Struthio camelus: one gene and its partner. The protein of the gene in region 1 binds, or shares a complex with, the protein of each later gene. Links are inferred from orthologs where the notes say so. Each region holds a gene or a part of one and is shown on either strand. Other genes may lie near its edges.

What was found. The genes of interacting proteins can lie anywhere in the genome.
Region 2: the proteins of RAB11A (region 1) and SH3BP5 are in contact, whole or in part, in a crystal structure (PDB 6IXV), measured with the Homo sapiens proteins. The link is inferred for Struthio camelus from reciprocal best matches to the Homo sapiens genes RAB11A and SH3BP5. Residues at the interface, in NP_004654.1 of Homo sapiens: Tyr8, Asp9, Tyr10, Leu11, Lys13, Glu35, Phe36, Asn37, Leu38, Glu39, Ser40, Ser42, Thr43, Ile44, Phe48, Lys58, Gln63, Trp65, Tyr73, Ile76, Ala79, Arg82, Gly83; in NP_004835.2 of Homo sapiens: Asp42, Ile45, Gln46, Leu49, Glu50, Asn53, Thr56, Ile59, Asn60, Glu63, Thr64, Glu67, Lys240, Tyr243, Leu247, Leu250, Glu251, Ile253, Ser254, Asp255, Ile257, His258, Arg261.

Annotation. Positions count from the first base shown.
Region 1 is NC_090953.1:3,552,787-3,560,330, forward strand, and holds the start of RAB11A (ras-related protein Rab-11A), read right to left. Parts: upstream 3,021-7,544; 5' UTR 2,742-3,020; coding exon 2,702-2,741; intron 1-2,701. UniProt on the Homo sapiens protein: The small GTPases Rab are key regulators of intracellular membrane trafficking, from the formation of transport vesicles to their fusion with membranes.
Region 2 is NC_090943.1:48,869,666-48,877,664, reverse strand, and holds the start of SH3BP5 (SH3 domain-binding protein 5), read right to left. Parts: upstream 3,034-7,999; 5' UTR 2,668-3,033; intron 2,593-2,667; coding exon of another isoform or gene 2,490-2,592; exon of another isoform or gene 2,304-2,489; intron 845-2,303; 5' UTR 742-844; coding exon 460-741; intron 1-459. Other genes in the region: EAF1 (ELL-associated factor 1), read left to right, coding at 2,490-2,592, 6,388-6,482. UniProt on the Homo sapiens protein: Functions as a guanine nucleotide exchange factor (GEF) with specificity for RAB11A and RAB25. Inhibits the auto- and transphosphorylation activity of BTK. Plays a negative regulatory role in BTK-related cytoplasmic signaling in B-cells.

The DNA of each region.
Region 1 (7,544 bases):
TTAATTCAAGAGCAGTGAGAGACAGCCAGATTACAGAATATTACCCTATTATTTTAAAGCAAGCCAAACTATGAACTCAACCCCCAACTACCACAAGCCTTAAAGTTGGTAAGCCCAAAAGAACAGTCCTCCTGGATTAAGCGTCCTTATAGACCAACACCCAGTCTGATAGCAGCCCAGAGTGGATGCCTGAGAAACACTATGAATAAGAGAACAAACAAACTAATCTTTGTCCTAGCAGGCCCTCACATCTTCAAACAAGCAGTACCTTCAGGCTTTCTGTTCTAATCATCACAATAAGAGTGCCCCAGATTTTTCTTCCCCTATGGATCTGTAAAACCTTTCAAACCCATTTATACCTTTCGTTTATGACAATAAACTGCTCCAAAATTTGCATATGTCTTCAGGGAGATTATTCCCTATTTGTCTGTATCACTCAGTTTAATTCTAATAAAGTTGCACTTCACTTCAAGATGAGGAATATGAATCTTTTAGGTCTCTCTCCTGATTATTTTGATGCTCTTCTCCATCTTTTTAATTCTGTAACAACCCCTTTGAAAGGGGTATGACAGTCCTTCCTGCATTTCCTTTCAATCCAAGAAGTTCATGTCTCAGATTCAAATACTGGCATAATTCTCCCATTAAGTTCTCAGGTCATCTTCAGTAATTTTTTTTTTTTTTTTTACCTACTACTTGCATTTTTGACCAGTGCCTAGTAACGAGCCATTAGGTTCAGAGAACTACTCACAACAATTCCAAGATCTTTCCAGAGAGGTGATAGCTTGTTTGCTATCACCAACACATTTACGTATTTACAACTGTTCCCCCAGTTTGTATCACTCTGCATTTGTTGTCATGTTATTTCAGCTACCGACAGCTAAATATTTATCTCAGTTCATGTGATGTTGCATGAACCTCCTGCAGTCGCCTTTGGCTTTGACAAACCTGAATCAGCACTTCACAGCACTATTTTCATAGCATCACCTATACTCTCAATCCCATCTATAAAATAACCTTAACACAAAAAGCTTTGGGATGGGACAGTTAACTAAACTAGCTTTGAACATTTCTATACAACTGGATCCCAGCTTCATGAAATATTTCCCCATTATACAAGAAGTTTCATTAAAAGATGGCAAGTCTCCCTACAAACCCCACTTCACTTATATTCTCACACCTTCATAGCTTCAACATTAATCACAAGCATATCACTGACAGAACTTATAAATAAGTAAAGTGATGGTTTGGATAACTTGTAGATATAAGTACCTAAAATAAGACTGTTCACTGTGATTAAATTAGTGGCCAGAGAGGCCTTTGCATATGCTGCAAGCGAATATGAGGGGCACTTTTTGGAACTGACCTGATTTTAATTGCTGTACATACGACTGATTTATACTCAGAAATAATGTCATTTTCCACATGGAAATTGGGCAAAAGAGACAGAAAAAATTAAATTCCTCAAAGTTGTTACAGGAAATTAAGAGCACAGAAAGTAACACTGCTTCTTTCATTTAGGCAACCAAGTTTCACGATGCCAGTAATCGCATCTCTCACCATGAGAATGTACCAAGGAGTATTATAAATCCTAAACTCAGATGTCCAGTACAGTATCACAGTAAACAGCTATTTTAAAAATATTCCAAATATCCAATTTTAAAACGCTATCATAGAAGCAAGCAACTTCAGAACATCAGCATTTCAGTTTGGGTTTCACTGCATGCTTTACGAACCTTCACAGCAGACTGGCTTTTTGGACTGCAGGGAGTGAAAAGGGAATACTTAAGGCAATCAAACATCTTTAACCTAACTCACTGATGTACAGCAGACTGAAGGTGCACCAGTCCTGGAAAATAAGGTGTTCCTGCTCTACTCTGCTGGGTGCCATATGAGGTGCCAAGAAGGAAGACCACTGGCTGTGAAATAGGAGTTAACTAAGGAAGGACTGAAAACACAGAAGACAAATAATACTATTTTATTAGTTAGCTACATTTTCTACTAACGTTAAACGTAAGAACAATTTATTTTCTTCACAGTTCCATTTAAAAGCTGTAAAAGGAAGTAATTCTTATCCATCTTGGGCATTCTCACTTAGGATCTTTGTTCCTAAAGGCTGGCTGCCACCTCAGCCCACTGACAGAGCAGAAGCCTTAAACAAGACACAGACAGCACGCCAGATCACTGAAATGGAAACCAGCCCAAACTTACCATTATTTGCGGGGAGAACAACCAAAGCCGGCAGGCAGCGCTCCGGAGCGGGCAGCGGCTCCCAACGCCGCCCGAGCGATGAAGCTCCAGAAACCTCCGAGCCAGGGTCGGGGACTCCCCGCGGGCAGCGCCCCCGGCCGGGCAGCGCCCCGGGGGAGGGCGGCCCCCTTCCCATGATCCCCCCAGGGCCGGCCCCGGGGCAGCCCCGACCCCCACCCCCAGCCCGCAGCCGACACCGCCCGGGACCGGCCCCGCCAGGCGGCAGCCGGGCAACGACCCCCCCCTCCGCCAAGGGCTCCGGGGAAAAAGGCCCGAGGGGGCGGGGGCCGCCGAAGGAGTGGCGATGGAGCCCCCCCAAACCCGCTCCCCCCCCCCGCCGAAAAGGGCCGGTCCCGTGAGGAGGCCGCTGCCCCCCGCCAGGCCCAGACCTCCCCCTCCTCGGGGAAGGTGACCCCTCCGGTTGCCATGGCGACCGGCCGCCGCAGGCCGTTACCTTTGAAGAGATAGTCGTACTCGTCGTCGCGGGTGCCCATGGTGCGGTGCACCGAGGCGCGGCGGGAGGCCGAGGACCGGGACGGGCAACGGGAGCGGGAGCCGGAGCCGGACCCCTCCCTGCAGCCGCCGCAGCGCTTCCGCCCTCCGCGCTCCGCTCGCCCGCCCACAGAGAGATGCTTCCGGGGCAGCGCCGCGGCGGTACACGTCACTTCCGGAGACAGGCGACAGTGCCCCCCCCCCCCCTTAAAGGTGCGGCGCCGTCGCCAAGGCGGGGCGGGAAGTGCGGTGCCGCCCGGCGCCGCCCCTCAGAGCCCCTCCCCGCCTACCGGCCCCGCAGGCCCCGCCCCGCCGCGGAGCGGGCGGAGGAAGCATTAGAGGCGGGCGGGGCGGGTGATGACCACAGCGGTTCCATGGTGTAATGGTTAGCACTCTGGACTCTGAATCCAGCGATCCGAGTTCAAATCTCGGTGGAACCTGAAATTTTCTTTTTTTTCTTCTGTTTTCCCACCCCCCCGCCCCCGTCGGTTTTGTTCGTCCTCTGCCTGAGCAGTGGCCAGGCGCACGCCTTCCTCCCCTCCACTCTGTGCTGCTCCACAGACACAGGGCCGTATCTAACGATTACACCTCACACTTTCTCCTGATTTTAGCCCGCTAGTCCTTTCCCCCGCTGGGGAGTGGCTACCATCGCCCTGTCCCCACGGGCCAAGGACGGTACCGTGGGGGCTAATTTTCTGAGGGAGAAAACCCCAGAGCTGTCTCCAACTGTGCCGAGACCAAGGCGGATCGGAGGTAAACCCACCACGGCTCACAGAGCGGTCAGCAGCCCCGCAATCTGGGGGCACGTAACGACACGTCAATGAACTCTGAGTTAACGAGGTGCATCCCAGCCCGGGGCGGAGGTATTCGCCTCCAAGCGGCTCAGGTTTGCCACGCTCCCGCCGTGAGAGAGAGACAAAAATGGCGCCGGGGCCGTGAGGGAGAAGCAAAAATGGCGTCGGGGCCTGCGGGAGGCTGCGAGGCCGCCCCGAGGCGGGAAACGGGGCCGCCGCGCCGCAGGAGCTGCTGAAAGCTGGGTTTCTTCTGGAAACGAGCGGAGAGGCCGGCTCAGAGACCGACCGGCCGCGTTTTGGTCGTCCTCCGGGTCCGCTGGCCAAGGCCTCGCCTGGTCCTGCCCGTTGGCTCCCGCGGCGCGCGCCGGAGGCCTAAATAGCGAAAGATAAAAATAGCCCTCATGTCCAGACGATTAAACCGAAACCCTGAAAACTCATTCTTTTCCCACCGGCTTGCCGTCAGCAGGAGCTGTGAGTTAGCCATCGCTACAACCAGTGGCGGCGTTACCGTTGCCGCCCGCTGGGCGTCAACCCTGGGGCGCCCGCCGCGACCCGGCCCGGCACCGACTGTCGGCTGCAACGAGAGCGAACCGTGGCGCGCGCCTTGCGCTTCGAAAACGTTTCCGGCGGCTTCAGCCAGGCGGGAGCTGCTGGGCGAGGAACGCCGATAACAAAGACGCCCGGTGTGAAGCCGAAGCCCGAGTCGCCCGGTAAGAGTCCGGCCGCCCAGGGGCGCGGAAGTGGAGCGGGAGCCCAGGGCCGCCGTTGGCTTCCTTCCTGGGGCGCGTGGCGACGTCCGGCTTCTCGCCGCCATTCGTGCACGAAACCCGCTTAGTGTTGAGGGCTCCGCGGCTCCGCGGTCCGGCTCTGCAGGCGAGGCGGGGATAACGGTGTCTACGGGCGTTGCAAGACCAAACCCCGCAGCAGCAGGCAGCACGCGGGTAGCAGCGCAGCCACGAGGTCTGCGGGAGTATGTGCGGTCTCTGCGTTGACCCTTTTTCTCTCCAGATGAACCCCGGACGCTCAAAATGCATCTGAAAATGCTAGGCCGCTCCTGCCGCTCTGTTCTCTGAAGTTATCTCGATGCAGCAAGACGGGATTTAAAATTAATAATGGCTTCTGATGTGTGTAGAGGCTGTGGTGTATTTATAGCTCTGTAGTTTCCATCTCACATCCTATTTTCAGGCTGCCATTGAACTTTGTCATTAAAAAACTGTTAATTTTAACCTGACGTTTCCCAGGCCTAGTTTCACCCTTCAAAGATGCTATTACTTAAAAAAAAAAATTAAAATAGCCCAGTTGAAGTATTTTTAGTTGGCTGTCTGTAAGAGTTGTTTCGTTTTGGTGCTTTGGATTTTGTTTGTCAGCTGAGAACCTGGAAACACCCTTTATTTGCATTTTTCATATGTGTAAGAGTCACTTCCTCTTGCACCAAGTTGCAGATGTTCCTAGTCTGGAACTGGCACAAAGTAAGGAGAATGGCTCTTCCGGCGGAGCTAAAAGTGACGGCCCCTACATTGCTGTACAGTTACAACTTGGCAAAATTAAACAAGGCATTGCCAATCATGTGTTGCAATATGAAATTTCAGCAGATTGCCATGTACGTGAGTAGTCACAGGGGTTATTTCTAGCTGAGCCATTTAAATGCTTTTGCTCATTTGTATTCAGGTTCTTCATGGTGTAGACAGGCAAAACTGAAATAGCAGAAAGAACTGCGTGTCTGAACAGGAGTAAACTGATAGCAGTAAATGAGGATAGCATTGGACTAGCAGGGAGCTCTAGAAATTAAAAAGCCTTATAGTCTGGTCAGTGCTGGGTTAATTCTGTTCCTGATCATGAAAAGCCCAGGTGAGAATGTACAAATCCTCAGGAAATGCCACTGTTAGCAAAGACTGTTTTGGCTGTTCTGCTCCTTCTTTGTGTCCCCTCCTAGAGTGTGCTGCTGCGTTACGGGATGGCCTGGGACACCTCCTGCTCGTATGAAATGTGGCCAAGAAGCAGAGGTCAGGCCTGAAATAGCAGAGGACTATGTGCTCTGGGACTGGCAGCTTCTAATGTGAAGAAAGTCGTTCAGCGCTGGAATTTCTGCTTCGTTAATTGCCGTTAGTGCTGTACTTGTGGGAACGCTAAGTTCATTGCAAACCCTGAATTTTCACTGGCTGTTAATTCTTCACGTTGTGCTTAGAAAAGACCATTTGTGGTGGCAGCATGTTGCAAGCAACTGGAGCAGAGACAAGGACTGATACTCAGCTGGACCTTGGATGTTCAATTTAGCAAAGAAAAGAAGCAGAGGACACACTCATAACTGTGTATTTATGGTACTTTTCTGGAAATTATACACCAGTGGCCAAAAAGGCCCCAGATTTTGCCACAGCAGCACATTTAATGTGCAGGTGTGTGCGTTAGGGCTGTCAGCGCAGACCTGCTCTGCCTCAGGCGCTGTGTGTCCGGCTCCCCCCACGCACCCTCGCTTCATTCTCCCACTTTGCTCCTGCCACCTACTCTTGCGACCCTAAGAGGAATCCTCACCTAAAAAAAGTAAGAGGAGTTTTGCCCCCATCTTTGGCGGTTCTAGCTTTCCCACAACAAGGTCAGGGTCTCTTTGCAGAAAGCACTGGTTGGATTTGACATGGAAACAGAAGAAATTGAAATAAGGCAGGGGCAGTAGTTCAGCAGTAGAGCTGCTGGTCCCAGATCTTCTGACTCTGTATTCTCCATCCACGCTTTGCAAAGCCCATGAAATTGGCAGCTCAGGGAATGATTTGGGGTAGGAGTCACAATAATTCAGATTGCCCTTGAATGGCTGCTGACCCAAATTCCTGTTTCCCAGGTGAAAGGAGTCACCAGCTTCCCCTGTCAGAAGGCAGGAAGAACAAAAGCAAAGCCCCACAACCCATCCTACTCTATCACAGGAGAAATATTTCCTAAGGGGGAAATCCAATCGATACTTTCCAATTTTCTAACAAACCATGAATCATTGCAATTATGCAGAGATAATTCAAGCTTTCCAATGCAGCAGTCACATTAGAGATGAAAAGCAGGCTTTTAGCACTCACTACCTCCGACTTGACATAAGTCAATCAGAAAAAAGAAAGCTTAAGTATAAAATCCATCCGTTGAAATAACAAACTTTTCTTTTTAGGGCTCTGGACCAGAGCAAAGGGTCTATGATGTACAACGGGTTCTATTTTCGGACAGTTCCATGCCAGAGGTAGGAGTAATAAAAATGCATGGAGTAGAGAGAATTTTTCTGTTGATAACTTATTTGAACGCCAGCATACAGTCTATTCTTCTTCTACTTCTACAGCTCATATAACAAGAAATGTTCAAAAACATTTTCTGTAAATCAGCCTTTTCCTTCCTAACTCTGGAGCTGGAAGAACAAAGGATCTGGATCTGGATCTTTCCAAAGCCTTTCCTAACCTCATCCTAGTTTTCTAAAGATCTGAAGAAAGATAGAGAAGGCAGCAGCCCTAGAAAAGATTAACAATCTGCTGGAACCATTTCTGTGCTACACTGGCATTCTGGTAAGCAGAAGGGAAGGCATGTTTTCACCATGCTTTGGGAACAGGGATCAAACGCGACAGGCTCAGTGACTCGGGATTTCTCATGATGACTGTCAAAATGAAGCCATCAGTTTCCTGCCTCCATTTTGGACTCAGCGCGCATCTCCTCGGCTGTGTCTGCTGCCTCCAGAGACGTATTAGCAAGATAATGCTTGCAGCTCCACCATAATTGCTGGCCAGGAAATAATTTCTGAGACACAGCTCAAAATCTTCTTACTCTTACTAGACCCTGCCCCCTGACTTCTATTTCCTACCTACGGCCAAAATCTACTTGATGTCGGCATATTGAATAGGAGAGTCGCTACCAGGCAAACACAGTGTCGGCAGACAAGTGTGATCACAGTACTGGATTTGAAGAGTCAGCCCTGGGGAATGAAGAAGGCATTTTGATTTTGGTGGCCAATTCATTCACTACTGAAACAACTGACAGAGCTAGCTGGTTGTG
Region 2 (7,999 bases), on another chromosome or scaffold:
TAAAACTTTTAATATTTCTTTAGTCATCCACCCACTTAATTAACAGATTGTTGTACTATTGCTGTCTTGTGTCTCATCCAGATAGAATGAGCAACAGATGCATCTGACTATTCCCCTTAAGGATATTTTGCAATTAGCCTGTAGTTCTGGATGCTTTCTTTAAAACAGTGTTTTAAGTGCTGTAACTTGCGTCCTAAATAGACAACTTGTCTCTCTGTGCAGATGCAAAATAAATATTCCAGATTTGGTTCTCCATATACAATATGAAAGAATTATAAACTGAAACTAAACTGATCCTGAGGAGATATCTTTGACATTAAAAGAGACTACACTACACAAAGCACTACACACTTAAAACGTGAGAGCTCTCACCTTAATGGCTTTGTTAGAAATATTACTACATCATTTGAAAACAATGAATCATATCTCTTTACTTATAGATAGGTGTATTCAGCTCACCTCCCGACATGCTTTTAACTCTTGAAACTCTCTGGTTGTCCAGTGTCTGTCTTTGAAGAAGTTGGTGCTGTTTCTTTTGTAAAATAGATCCCAGTTCTTCTGTGCCTCTTTCTCCAATTTTAGTTGTTTGAAATCAGTCACCAAAACCTTATCTTTTGCCAGTCTCTCAGCTTCTTCGGGGCTAAGGATCCTTGCACTATGGCCTTTTTTTTGGAAAGCATCAGCTTCAGTAGATGTAATTATTAAATTTAAGCAATCGGCTGGTGGGTTTTCATGGAACATCCTAGAGTATTTCACAGAGATGTGAATACCAAAGCCCCAACAGTGATTTTTTTTTTAGCATATATATGTTTCCATCACTTAATTTTGGTAAATAACCAAGGATCTAAAAGCACAAAAGAGAAAGAGAGAGAGAGAGAGAGAGAGGGAGATAGTTAGTTTTTGTATGCACTTTCGGAGGTTTTATGGTGATCTGCCCTACATAACAGACCGCAAAACCACCAGACTTGCTTCTCTTATTTTCAGAAATCCTCCTTCAAAGCTAAGCACCAGGTAAGACACTACACTGATCTCAAAGAACACAGGGGACAAATTCTGCTGGTCTTCCACACGTATCATAGAAAACTACCCAACCAGAGAGAGATGATGCAGCTCTAAGTTTATTTGCACTAAAATCGACTAGAAAAGGAAAACACGGGCTTTGTAACTCTGGTTAGTAACACCTCAGAAAGCTCACAACTGAAAAGCAGGGGGCACACCTTTTAAGAGTCCCGTTTCAGTTGGCAAAGAAAACCATATTCACCTTAACATTTCTCCTGAGCTCGCACTCCTTCCACTGCCTCTTCCTGAGGATTCACAGCAGTTTGAACAATGACGGGTATGTTTTTTTCAGAAGTTAACAAAAATGAGGCAATAAAAACACCTTTATGGAGGCCAGGAAAGGATTCAAGTCATTTCCCTAACGTTAAACTAGCTCTGAGCTCTGCCTTGCCACAAACACCCAGACGGCGTACGTGAATTAAATCCCGCGTGACCCAGTAACTCCCCTGAAACCCCTGGCAGGCCAAAACGCGCCCATCCACGTCCATCAGTGCCCAGGACTGGGCATTCGTGCCGCTTCACAGAAACGGAAATGAGGAAAAACAACAACTTCTACCCTTCAGCAAAACAAAAAAGAACAACAACAACGAGCAGTACTTCATTCCGCTATTTTATCTTGGTTAGTACAAACGTAACAGTGCAAACACAACACACAAACGCGGGAACGGCGGGAAACGAGGAAGCGGGCCCGTTGTGCCCAGCTTCACAGGAGCCAGACCACACGCCGCTTGCCCGCAGGAAGGCTGGGAAAGGCCAACAGCGATGAGACTCCCTTGAAGAAGGAAAATCTACTAAAGACACAGGCTTTTCCTCAAAATATGTAATATTTTGATTTTTTCTTGAAGGTATATCCTCAAAGAAAGAAAGAAAAAAAACAAAAAGAGAAGTTTCAGCAGCAAAAAGGTTCTGCTGTGCGCCTGGCACGCATCAAATCAACGCGTGCGGGGTTTTTTGGGGTAAGACAAGCTAGAGAGGGGAGTGGGGGGGGGGGAAATGACCCGTTTAAATTGCCCCCTTTACGTCTGGAAAGACCCCTGTGTTAGACAGAAACCAAAGAGCTGACACGACGATAACGGTCGCCCGCCCCGCAACCCCCCCAGCAGCCGTTAGCAGCCGTTAGCACCGCGCAGCCCCCGCTCCCCCCCGCCCCACGCCGCGAGGGGCGGCCAGACCCCGCTGCGGGGGGGGGGGAGGGCGCCCCACACGGGGCCAGACCCCCTGCGTGCCCCCCCAACGGCGCCCACCTGCCCTCGGTGCCCTGTGGGGAGAGGGGACGGGACGGGACGAGACGGCTCGGCTCGGCCCCGGAGCACTTTCGCGGCTGCACTCAGGGCCCGGAAGGGCGCGGGGCGGCCGCGCACGCAGCGGGCGGAGGAGAGGAAGGGACGGGCGGCGCAGGACACGGCACGGCACGGCACGGCAGCGGGGCCATGAACGGCTCGGCGAACCCGCTACTGGACAAGGAGGAGCACCCGCTGCAGCTGGGCGAGAGCTTCGAGCGCCGGCCCAAGGCCTCCTTCCACACCATCCGCTGTGAGCGCCCCCGCCCCTTCCCGCCCGGGGTGGTGGTTGGGGGGGGACATATACATACACACACACACACGTTACCTGCCCGGCAGCTCGCCCTCCGCCGCGATACCTTCCTCCCCGGGCCCCGCCGTCCCTTCTAGCTCCTGCCGCCCTTCGCTGCCTTCCCCGAAATGGCGGGGGGGGGGGGGTGGCCAGCGCCTCCCCGACATGGCGGGGGGTGCCCGGCCCTGCCTCGGAGCCGCCCCCCCCCGCAACCCCGCTCCCGAGGCCGCCGCCTCGGCCCTGCCTCCCCGCGGGGGGGACGAGGCTCCCCTACCCCCCGTGGGGCTTGCCCCCGGCCGGCTGCCACCCCTCATGCCGCGCCGGCTTCCGACATCGTCCCTCCTCAGCGCCCGTCTCTCCCTCCTTCCCGCCCCTACTGCCCTCCTCAGCCCTCCTTCCCCCCCTCCCCAGTCCTTACCTCAGCGCCTATTCCCGCCCCTGCTGCCCCTTCAGAGTCCATCGTTCCCCCTAGAGCCCATTCCTTCCCCCTCAGCGACCTATATCCTCTCTTCCCTGCCCCCCCCCCCCAACTAGCCCCCGTGTCCCCCCCAGGGCCCGTTTTCGCCCTCTGGCTCTGTGGCTGCAGCCCGAGCAGCGAGGGGGCAGGGGGAGGGCAACGGAGAGCCGGCCAGGGCTGCGCTGGAAGCGTTTACAAACAGACGTGCTGGGAGAGCGGGTCTCCTCGCGCGGCCCCCTCTAGTAGAGCAAAAGTGTGAACGAGGCAGACTGCAGAAGACAAAGGGGCTCTGGAGTTGTTCGTGAAGTGCACGTGAATCGTTTAAGAGCATAAAGCCTCCTCCTCCTCAAAGGGAAGGCTTTCCATTTTCTTATGGGCCTGGTGTTACAGGTCACCACAGGCCCTGGTCTGGCTTCTTCTGGGTGGGCAGGAGTGTCGGGAAAGGAGTACAGCTTGTCTGCAGCCGATTCAATTTAACTGATTGTTGCCGTAATGAGGCACCATGTAACCCAGCAACTTTTTCCCCGGCTCTGTTGACTCTCAAGGTCTATTGTAAGTCACTTTCCAGGAAGGCAAGCAGAAATGATTCCAACGCATGCAGTATTGCCTAACAAGTGGTAATAAGCATAAGATAAATGCTGAGGCAAGGTCTCGAGCAGTAATTTTGCTTTGGAGGAGCTGGAAAAATGTATTTTTCTAAGACACCAAACGTCTTTTTCAACTGCTGTTTTCTAGCGTGGAATACATTTTATATCATATTAGAGGATCTCCTCCTGGAAGAGGAGATCACCTGTATCTCTGTATTTGAATGCTGTAGACAAGAAATTGCTTTTTCATTTTCATTACTTTTTCTAAACATTTAAAATTAGTAGTTAATCAGCAACAGGAGACGAGAATTATAGTGAAACTGTATTTTAGTATCTTTGTATTAGTGTGGAGAATTTATACTATTAACAGCAGGATTTTTTGTTGTATGATGTATACTCCTAGGCCTGGTTTCATAGCCTGCTTTCATACACTATGAGTAAATAATTTCAGTGAGATTAGTCACCTGAGTGAGGCTTGAAAGAACAATTTTCTAGACTGAGCTATTATCCAAGCAGAGGATCAGTGTTTACAGAGAAGCTGTTTCCCTAGATAGTAAACTCTCTCCCGCAGATTAACACTTAAGTTTTGTGTGGTTCACCCCTCTATTACACTTACATAACCCCATGATGCTAAAGAAGGCCGTAGCATGTGTGTGATATATTTTACTGTTTATTCATAATACCATTAGTTTTATTCAGCACTGGCACAGTAGTAAATCTTCACTTATAAATCAAAGTTTTAAAATAGCCCAACCATCAAACAAATGAGGTTGCTGTCTGATAGCATATGAATTAAACCTAGGTCATGTCCAGATAATACTTTGGATTTCTAGGACTGAAGGGTCTTCAGTAATCAATTTCTTAAGGGACTGCAAAGCCAGAACACTTCAGACTACAACCGGAAAAATCCAGTTTTATTTTCAAAGAGCTTTCTGTGTGCTGTATTTGTAGTCAGTGACTTTCAAGTGAGATCTCTTTCGCTTTGCTGATTATAACTTTTTCTTCTAACTCTTGATTTTAAATGATTAGTCTAGGATCTGAGCATCATAGTGTTCCCCTAATCCTCTTCATACAAACTACAGTAAGAGGATTTTGCAGGCTAAATTTGTCTCTTGCTCCTTAAAATACCTCATCTTTTTCTGCAATGTTTATGAAATTCCGAACTGAAAAACTGGATTATCCATGGAAAACACATCTAAAGAAACTTGACTTTTGGAAAAAGGACTGCAGCTACGTTTAGGTGGACATGTTTGCCCTCCGTCTACAGGAAAATTAGCCAAGTAGATACAAAAAGAAAACAATTTATTGTTTGAGTGTTTGCTTGGAATAACTCTATATTTTGTTAATATCCAAGAAAGAAGCACGTTAGTGATATTTTGCTTTTCATTTAGTGACTGCGCTGTTGAAAGTTGTGATCCCTTTTTGGCAAAGACCCTAGCCTTTCTACAGCGAGCTTATGTTCTATTTAGCAAACTTGCACATGAAGTAGATGGGAAACAATAGCTAGAAATAGATTGGTCAGATGAAAACCAAGGATATGATTTGGTCTGGCAGTTAAGGCATGAGGATTAAGTCAAGTGTGCCTGATTTTGCTTGTTGTGCTGTCAAAGTAAAACTCAATTAGACATTAATGTCCTCCTAATGAGAATTTGCTACAAAGCTGTTTTTTTCCTGCAAACGTGCTTTTCCTAGTGGAATTACATTTTAAATTTGTTCTGAGATGTTAGTGTCTTAACTAATGCAATAATTAAAAGTCTTGGTTGTGAATGTAATTGCACCTCTTTGTATTCTGAGATGCTAGGATTTAATGGATGCTTGTTTTAAAAAAAAAAATCCTATATCCATATCTATCTGATATTATTTCGCTTTGTCTAAATTCTCTGTCAAAATGTTATGTGTTCTGGTCATTTGTTCTGGTTTTTATGGCTCATCGCAGCTGAGTAATTGAGGGGAAAATACTTTGAAGTTAAAATGTTCTTAGTTCAACTAAATACAGTAAACAAAAGTGTATTGCTTGAGGGACAGAGTGTTCTGTACAAGGCACCAAAAACACTAGGGGCAGCTTATAGCTATCCCAGTGTCTTGCCTTAGTTGTGCTCTCTATTCACAGTGTTTTTGTCCTAGCATGAAGCGTGGTGAAATAAGACCAGCACCTCTGTTTTCCCCCTCACAGGTGGGGTTTAAGAGCTGCTCTGCGCTTGAGGTGGAGGTGCGGAGGCAAAAAGGCTGTTATCAAAGGCTGTCAGAAATATCAGTGAGGCTAACTGGGATGGCCTCGCTAAGTTATTCTTTGTCACGAACAGAAGTATCCTCTGGGTTGGAAGTGGCAAGACCCATACAGGGCACTGGGGCTTGCCGTTAATACTCTTTTGAGATGCATGGAACAGTTTTACAAAATCTGCAAAATCAAGTGTCGCTGTACTGACGTCGTTGGGAGAAGCCTGCTTTTGGTCTTGCACACACAAAGGTCTAGAAAGTTACTTCCATTTTAAAAAGTAAATTTAGAATCTGATATTGTCATGTGACTGGAGCTCTGAGCATAGGCACATTGTGCTGGTATGTTATTCTACCCCTGCTGTAAGCGCTAACGTGTATTTTAATGTTCCCTATATCACAGTAAACGTGCAGTGACTTTTTACAGGGGAGGATGAATTATGAAGGCTCTAAGAAACAGTTTCACATGAATAGAATCCAAATTATTTTCCTCTTTAGATGATTTTAAACCAGCATCGATCGATACGTCTTGTGAAGGGGAGCTCCAAGTTGGTAAAGGAGATGAAGTAACAATCACCTTACCACATATTCCAGTAAGTATGTTGTATGTTATAGTGTATGTTTCCCTGTTTGCTCTCTAACAAATTTACAAGTAGTTGCTGTGTAGGTGCAATCTACTGTAAATGTAATTTTCACTTTCCTCTTTGTTAAAACAAATGGGTTCAATATTCAAGCTGCCAGAACTGTAATGTGTTACCTTAGGAAAGGCCAGCCGAGCCTTTATAAAGGCTTATACCTGGGAGGTTCCAATCTTTTCTTTGCATTTGATTCCTTCCTTTCCCCTGTTCTTTGACAAACAAGAAGACTTTACTATTAGCCCAAAGTCTGTACCTAGTTTTCATTCGTTTTTAGTGCTGTGTCTTAAGGAGGAAAGGCAGAGTAGTTTTGAGTTGAGTCAAGATTTGGTGTTCAGAAGCCACAGGTAGGCCTTTAAGTCTGTGCTTTCCGTTACTAAAGTGTGTACAAATGGTATAGATTGTTCCTTGCCCTGGGGTTTATCAGTGGAAGCTGGAAAGAGTTTTGTAGCTAGTGGCAGTGAAGCGTCTGTCCACTTCCTCCTCAAATTATGCTGTAAAGGTCTACTGTGCAAAGATGATGGTCAAACAGCAATAAAGAAGTGATCAAACTGTCCATAGCTGCAGCTGTTTTGTAATTGAAGGATCAGTGATTTCCTTACCAAAACAAAAGAAAGTGATTGCATTCTGGAACTGGATTTGTTTATTAGCAGAAGCTAGTGCTGTGTGTCAAGCCTGTGAACCCAGGATTCAGACATAGATAGGTTTGGTGTTTGTGGAGGAGGCAACAGTCAGTTTAGAAGCCATGCGTCAGATCCTTTTGGTATTGTTTATTCTACTGTGCTGGTATTTTTAATTGCTAGATGATGTGACAATTCTCAGCAAATTAGGGTTTAGCTGCCCCCCTCACCTTTTTTATATGGTATTGGTCACCTTTAGTGCTTCAGAATGTTGCAGAGTTGCTTTTTGTCTATAAAAATGGTGAATATAACAGTGTTAAATGTGACAGAAAATAATATGATTAATAGCAATGGCATTCATCTTTGACTGGCAACTGTGTTGTTTCTTAATCTTTTGTGTTGAATGCAATTGCTTGTAATGTCCCTTTCCAAATCTCTGTGCTGATGGGTTTAATTTGATTGTCTTCCCATGGGTATGAACAGCTTTCAGCTTCTAGAATGCTCTGGCAGGTTACGCAGCTAACTGCACAAAATGCAGCCACTGTATGCATGTTTTTCCAAGGCAGTGTTGCCTAAGTTCAGTAGAGTTAGCTGGAAAACACTCTAAGTGTACTGAAAAAGAATGAGAAGTTTTGAGATCGTTTCATCCTTACAAGGTTTACTGAATTTCTTGCATCCTGCTTTGCTTTTCAGTTGCCCAAAAACTGGGTAGGATTCAGATTCCAACTTGTTTTTTGAAATTGCCTGATGCCTGAGGGTATCTCTGATGATTTGTTCGGTGGAGTTTCCTGGTGTCCATTGCTGCTTGGATAACTTGAAGAACTATTTCTACTTGTGGATTTAGTGGCTCTAATG